Tribolium castaneum: one gene and its partner. The protein of the gene in region 1 interacts with the protein of each later gene in a pairwise test. Links are inferred from orthologs where the notes say so. Each region holds a gene or a part of one and is shown on either strand. Other genes may lie near its edges.

Region 1 (3,758 bases):
CGTGATTTCGGCGCCGATTGGGATTATTAGCCCGTTTTATCTTAGGCCATCACTGAATCAGGTGCGGCAAATTGAGAAAGAGACAATAAATATTTATTTTATTCGCACTGCCTGTCCTTCTAAAAAGGGAACAAATTGAACGATAAATACATTTGCTAATGCTAAATAACAGTCACAAATATACGTACAGAATGAACATTATTTTAAAATAACTATGTCTAGCACTTTATTGGCAATCTTTTAAGTACATATAGTATCTGAAGCAACTTTTTGCGTTCGTTTAATTGTTGCTTTTTGGTTTAAATTTTGTGCAAAAAATGAAATAAATGCAGTACTAACGTACAGTTTTTCTTCTTGTTTGCAGCAAAAACTTTAGTTCAAAAAGCTTCTCCGGTTCTTTAGAAATTATCCGGTAAAAAAGATTTTAATGATGCGTTTGGTGAAACAAGTGCTTTTTTATTTTTTGAAAATCTGTTTCCTTTATATTAAATGTGCAAATGATGATGGGCTGGTTGAAGGTTTCGAAGGGATGTTGGAGTGACGGTTATAAGTTTTAATATTGTCAGTGAAGTTTCGTGTCGGTTTTTCTCTCTCACCTCAACAATTCTTGGCTTGTGCCTGGGAAGCGGTTTTGGTCGAACTCGGCTCAAGTCAGTAATTAATGAAGTTCGAAAATATGAGTCCGCATTCCGCAGACCAATTAATTCGTATATAACTGGAGGAAGGATTCGAGGAGTTGTTCGGAAGTTGGGTTGTTTTTATTTAAGTTGGTTCTATAATTTCATATTTCAGGCAGCCGACTTGCATGTAGCTCTTCCAGGGATGAGGTTTTAATTTGCATACAAACTCCAAAAGTTTAAAGTTATCTTTTAGCATCAGGAAAGCTCCAACATCTGTGAATCAAGCCCGGTTCGTTTACCTGCTGTGTACTTTTTAATTATTTAAATGAATGTTTTATTCTTTTGCATTATACATGTCGCAGATGGATGGATCCTGCGTCGGATAGCGACTTTCGACGCCGTTATCCTGCCTAGTGTCGACGTCCACCGCCAGGGGCGACGCTCCAGGCGCAGGACTAGAAGACCGCGCATCGACCCGGTGGGCCTGCTCCGATCCGCTCGTTCGTCGTTTGACAGTACGTTACGAGCTGTCTTGGAAAGTGGTTTCGTCGCCAAACATCCACTCCCACATAAACAAAGCATTGCCTCAGCGGTCGCGCTTTATCAACAAATCGCGCTCCGGCGCGACCACAACGCGGTGTGTTTCAGTTTCGTTTTTCCGGTTTTCTGTGACTTGGTGACTGTGTCTTTTTCGTTTTTCCTGGTTTGGTGGCTTTTCCGATGGAACCCCAGTCGGCGAGGGAGCGACACTGAGTGTCGTGCCTTCAGCGGCTAAAAAATTTACCACCGTGGCTGGTGAGTTTCCACATTCAGAATCACGTGCCGATGTATTCCGTTTAATTACATCGCGTGCGAACCGTTCAAAAACTCATCTCAATTATCAGCGCGCTGTTCGCTGTTTCAATTTCCTCGAATATCACGCCGAAGTCGGCAGTTTCCTCCTGTTTATAAATTTGGACGAATGCGGTTAGGAAACCGGGACGATTAACGCAAATTACACAAACGTAAACTTGCAGGAGTCGGTCCTGTGTCAACACAACTTCCTGTCCGTTTTAACTTTTCGACTTCCTTCCGGCTATTCGTGAATACTTTTCGCCCATAATCCTATTTTTCCAGGTCGGGCTTTTAAACTCTGCCACTAACGCGGGGGTGGCTTTTACTTCGCTTTGGACGAAATCGATTTCCAGTTCATATCAGACAGGAACGATTGGCTTCGTGCCAAAACTCACTGACAGCACACCAAAATTTACTCCTTTCATAAAATGAGGCTTGTGTGTGTGTTTAATTTATTTTCCAGCTTCGTAATTGCAATTGTGTGAATAATTGGGCCCTATTGTTAGATTGAGATTGATTCGGGACTAGCTTCAAGGAGTTTTTTCCGGTGCGACCCTCGACAACCCTTCCATTATAGAAAAAATTTCATTAACGCGACGCTCGTAATTAATTATCAATAAAGACACCTCCGCATCCATCACCGAGCTTTTTTCTTTATCGAGGCAATTTTTCAAATTATATTCACTTGTATTCGGGATTTTACAGACACAAATTGCTTGTCAAGTCGTCTGTCTTTAAACTCACACTTTGCCGATGATTCCTAACGTTCTCAAATATTTATCAACTTTCAGGGTGCATAGCTGAAAGCCGACTCATTTTCCTCCAGACTTTGCTGTAATAAACTTTTCATTCACCACTACTTCAATAACTTTGAATCCTCCCCTTAAGCGCGGTTTAAAAATTATTATAGAAACTTCCTGACATAATTGCTTTAGTAAACAACCAAACTAATGCGACTTAATTACTCGATAAAACTAGTTAAGCTACTTAGTAAACGAAAGACTGTTTCGAGCTATTTCGCTCCTGTTCAAATATTCCAATAATCGAATAATTGTCTCCCTCCGTAATAATTGTCGGAAGTAAACGAACCTTTGCTACACTGACCGTTAATTATCGACAAAAGTAATTGCATGTCAGCGTTGGCAATATGTAATTATGATCAGGTATGCCACTGATTATTAGAACAAAGCAGCCGCCATAAAGCATTCTCATGTCTATTAAATTATAATATGCACAGGGCGCTCTTTTTAAACTCCTTTCCCACAAAATATCTACTTGAAACCTGTCATTAGTCTTCTTCGAAATTTTAACAGCTGAAATAATCATCCTCACTGAAAGATTTAACGCTGCTACAAATTCCTGTGTACTTTGTAGATAATTGATTGATGATTGTCGTGAAAAGCGCGCTATAAATAAATGAGCTTTTCAATTTGTGTTCGACTACAACAGTTGCGAATTCTCATTCACTTCGATAAGTAGTAATTTTACATAATTGGCCGATTATTAATAACATAGTGTTGTCCTTAAAATGCCCTGTTAGAAGTGGAGTAGCGTCTGCACAAATACTGGTTAATGTCCGCTGCAATGCGCCAATTTCCGATATAGAATCACAATTTAGTAGCTGTTTGGCGCAGGATCTAGTCATTAGATCTCTTAGGCTGGTCGGGAGCTTGCCAGGAGTACTAGTGACATATATTCAATTACTGGATCCTTGGCAGAGTCCCTTATAAATGAGACCATTTGTAAAGTCATTTCGACTGAGCAAAAGCTCAAATCCGACTTGGAAGTTTTCTATGAAAGCTCTATTAAGTGTAATTCCGGTGGCGGATTTTTTAGTCTGTAAGCTATTAAAACGGAAAAAATTCTTTCTAATAAGAGCACGAATTGGGTCATTTCTTTACATGCGAACTCGGAAAGCACGCACGCCTTGAGGATTTATTATGATAAGGCGCTGTGCACAATTTTTAACGAGAAATATTTGTGGTAATTTGTTTCGTTATTTTCACACCACGGGTCAGAGGGGAGCTCAAAATAAATATTATCAGTAACAGGAACAAGCAACAAAACGTTTTTAATTACGCCACTGAATGCTTAGCTTATCACGTACAAACGTTTAACAAATCTGATAAAAACGCGCACTTTTACTTAATTGAGAAGCAGAGCAACGAATATCTAAACAATTCGGAGAATCGCGTAATTACACCGCATAAACTCTTGCAATTATTTCGTCGGAGGTAACTTCAAAAGGATGAACGTGCCAAGTGAATTCGCCAGAGTGTGATTTGGAAGTGCAGAGAATGCATA
Region 2 (3,735 bases), on another chromosome or scaffold:
CAAGCTATGACTAAGTCCAGACGAATAAAATTCAAAATTGGCCATTTTCCAATCAAATACTATGAGTTTTTTGTGGCCAAAAGTTTTACGAATATTGTCTTACTACAAATCTAGAGACTAATTAGGAATGAGATAATTTGCATTTGTATTATTTATTTAGTATTAGGGCTAGACTATGCGTCATTTTAATAATAAACTTCTTGGGTGCTGTTTTTAATAAAAAAATCACACTTTTGAAAGTAAGTTTATTTCATCTTCAATTATTCCGCCTTTCGAGATGTTTGCGAATCGCGACCTGGTTTTACGGCGATAAGGGAAGCGAATAAAAATGTTTTTTATGGAAATGGGATAGTGCGCTAATTATCAATAAAACTTGATCCAATAATGGTGTGATAAAGTTGTTTGTGAAGACTTGGACAAGCGAAAAAAACAACATATGTTTGCTGTAATTGTGAGATTCAAGATAGAATGTAAATTCTCGCGTAATACTTCCATATAAGGCTCTGAAGCTTAGTTTTCAGGTCACATTACTCACAATTTAGTCAAATATAGTTTAATTGCATGCGTAACTGTTGATCTCGAAAATGAAAATGCGAGAAGGATTTGGGGGATAAAATTAAAGGCAGTAAAAAGACGGGGGCACAAAAAGAGCCAAAGATTCTTGTTGTTTTTATGGAGATATGTCTGAAGACAGTGAAGAATTTTAAGTGCGTTTATCGGCGCTCGAGCAATCGCGTGGGCCATTTGCGACTCCGGGGTTATTTTGATAGAATATCTAAGGTAAAAAAGGTCGGAGACTCGTATAAATTTAACAAAAATCGACATGTGACACAAAATATGGAGCTGAATACTGAAAAAAGTGGGGTTAAGTTTGAAGACAATCTATAAACAACCAAACTCATGGACGGAGTTCTATTCTTGGTTTCACACATATCTTTAGTTCGAGTCGTGTTCAGTCTTTCTACTACATCGAAAGTGTTATAAAAGTGCAATGATTTTACGGAGGATTCTCTAGATAATATCGTTAATAAATTAAGTGAGTACAATTAAATTCGCACCCCCTGGTGCATTTCAATTAATTGCGAGCACTTAATTGATCGTCTTTCATTCGCGCAAATCGCTTAATATAGACTACTCGGTACTCTCCAAAATTTTAACACCCAAAAACATTTTTCTAAAAAATCTATTTTCAAAGTTACGTATTTTGAAACTATTTATAATTCCCGAACGTTTACATGCAATATTAGCGTTACTTCATAATGCTTAAACATATTTATTTGTTCATTATTAACTGCAATAAACACCGCGAACATAAAATTATTTAACTGACGCGCTTTTTTATCGTAAAACCGTAAAAAAATCTGGCTTAATTAAAAAAAATTGGAAAGCAAGTAGAGTGTATTATAATTGAAATTTGTTGAGATTTAGTGCGACTACATTCTTAAGTCAGATAAAAAACCAAAAACACCGCAACCACATCCGTCAGAACGACTTCCAAAGAACAACTTCAAAATTTCGCTTTTTCAGTAATCTTGAAACGCAAAACTAGGCAACCAAATATACATATATTTTTTTAATTTAACTAAACCAATTAGATGTGAATTACTCGAGTCGCCCTTGATAATTTGTTTATTTATATATAAAGAAAAATAATTGGATGGCATTCAAATACAGGACAAGTTCGATATAAATAGACTAGAGATGTGTTTTCCTCATTAAATGAAATCTCTTTTAACATCGTAAAAGGGCAAAAGAGATTTTCGACTTTCCGCTTTTTTCTTTGATGGAATGTCACTGAGAAAGTTGGTATTTTTACCATTGCAGAGAATGACAAAACGTGATTCAAATATTCGAGAATGAGTGCGATTACTTACCTGCATCTGCCTACACATGGGTAAACCCAGTGGCGAATCTGGCTCATGATTTTTCCCCACAGAAAATCTCATCACAGTCGCCCTCTGATAATAAAAGGTTTTTGTTAATTTTCCCTATTGATCAGTTCTTTATTTTTTTGTCTAAGAACTGCAGCGGTCATTAGAAAATTTTTCTAAAGTTTGAACGACTTTTTTTAACTATTTTAGTAGCATCGTATCCAATGGGTCTAAAAAACTTATTTGAAATGTTTTTGTGACATAAAGTTAATCGAAAGTTTGTACAGAAATTTTTGCCATTGGTAAAAATTTGTCCCTAGTTAAATTTGGCCGAATTGTACTAATTATTGTCCAGTTAAGTATTTTTTTTAGTATAAGTTTCGTTTAGTTTGATTTATTTTTAAAAGCTGGGGTGTTTGAGGATATTTTTATTTAATATAGACTAAAAGATTAAATAACTTATAAGTATAGGTAGTTTTTTTTGTTTATTTTCCGTTTGATAAAGGTTTTATCATTTTATTAAAAAAAAAGAAAGTGAAAAGGGCCGTGGATGCGAAGAGTCGGTAGTATTGCTTGTTGTATATGGTGTTACAGAGGGGTCATAGGTGAATTTGATCAGCATGGCTCAACAACAGTGTCCCTACCAAAGCAACTTCCAGCAGCAGCAACCGGTCGAGGCTTGTATGCAGCGCGATGTGGACTATTGTGAGTTTAATGACGAGGACGAAATGGTGACGACCGAGCGCGAGTTGGCGGAAGACGCACAGTGGAAAAAAATCCAACAAAACACCTTCACGAGATGGGCCAACGAGCACCTGAAGACCGTGCAAAAGCACATCGGAAACCTGGAGACTGACCTCAGTGACGGATTAAGACTCATCACCCTAATCGAAGTCCTCGCAGGAAAACGTCTCCCTAAGCACAACAAGAAGCCCTCGTTCCGGTCCCAGAAACTAGAAAACGTCTCGGTGGCCCTCAAGTTCCTCCAAGACGACGAGGGAATTAGAATTGTTAATATCGGTGAGTGGACACCGGCCCTGCTCTACTCTCTGCTTCTTTCTCGAATTCCTGCGACCCTCCGGCAGCAGACCACATACCATGCTTCTTGTTGCTTTTTTCCGGCACGAACGCTGAAAAACCTAAAAACGCAGCCGGAACCGACAAAACACGCAAATTCCCTACGCGCCAAAACAATTTTTTCTGTTTATTCTTATTATTTGCTCAAAGTTTCCTTTTATCGCGTATTTACAGTGTGATGTGCTAAAAATAAAGTTTAACATCATTCCCACCAAATCCCGCGAAAAATATTCTCAAACGTGGAAATATGGTAATTGATTATTCATTTTCACTGTGTTTGTGCTGACCCGATCAAATGCATTCGTGTCATTATTATTGCTTTTGCTATCATATTTATAAATAAACGGATCGGTTATTGTAGTCTCCAAACATTTTTCTAGCATTCTAAATAATAACGGACGTTCAAGGCTAAAAAGCCGACAATTTCTAAACCCGTTTTCGACCACTAATCCTATCAGGCCTTTCTTTTCTCTTTTTTAACAATATATCATACTGTTCATCCAGTCGGCTTGATCTGTAATAACATGAGAAATAAAATTAAATTGGAGATCAGGAGGTCAAACGCAGTCATTTTCAAATGCCTTTAGAAAAATACACAGATAGAGTAATGATAATTGTCATTATGATACGATGTTTTCAATTACTTGAGGTCGCGTTCTCGATTCTTCTCAAATTACTTAAGTCCGATGCATACCAAGCATCATATTTTCCGTCTAGACTGTTATTTGCTTCAAATCGACCGTATTTCTTGCATTTTTACGCGTTTTGAAACCGCAGTTCTTGAACG

Evidence for each region.
Region 2: the proteins of Ten-m (region 1) and cher interact in binary tests that used the Drosophila melanogaster proteins (3 or more experiments, as listed by UniProt). The link is inferred for Tribolium castaneum from reciprocal best matches to the Drosophila melanogaster genes Ten-m and cher.

Annotation. Positions count from the first base shown.
Region 1 is NC_087402.1:5,291,594-5,295,351, forward strand, and holds the start of Ten-m (teneurin-m), read left to right. Parts: upstream 1-1,114; 5' UTR 1,115-1,415; intron 1,416-3,758. UniProt on the Drosophila melanogaster protein: Involved in neural development, regulating the establishment of proper connectivity within the nervous system. Acts as a homophilic and heterophilic synaptic cell adhesion molecule that drives synapse assembly.
Region 2 is NC_087403.1:5,250,278-5,254,012, reverse strand, and holds the start of cher (filamin-A), read left to right. Parts: upstream 1-885; 5' UTR 886-1,036; intron 1,037-2,465; 5' UTR 2,466-2,491; coding exon 2,492-2,891; intron 2,892-3,735. UniProt on the Drosophila melanogaster protein: Involved in the germline ring canal formation. May tether actin microfilament within the ovarian ring canal to the cell membrane. Contributes to actin microfilaments organization.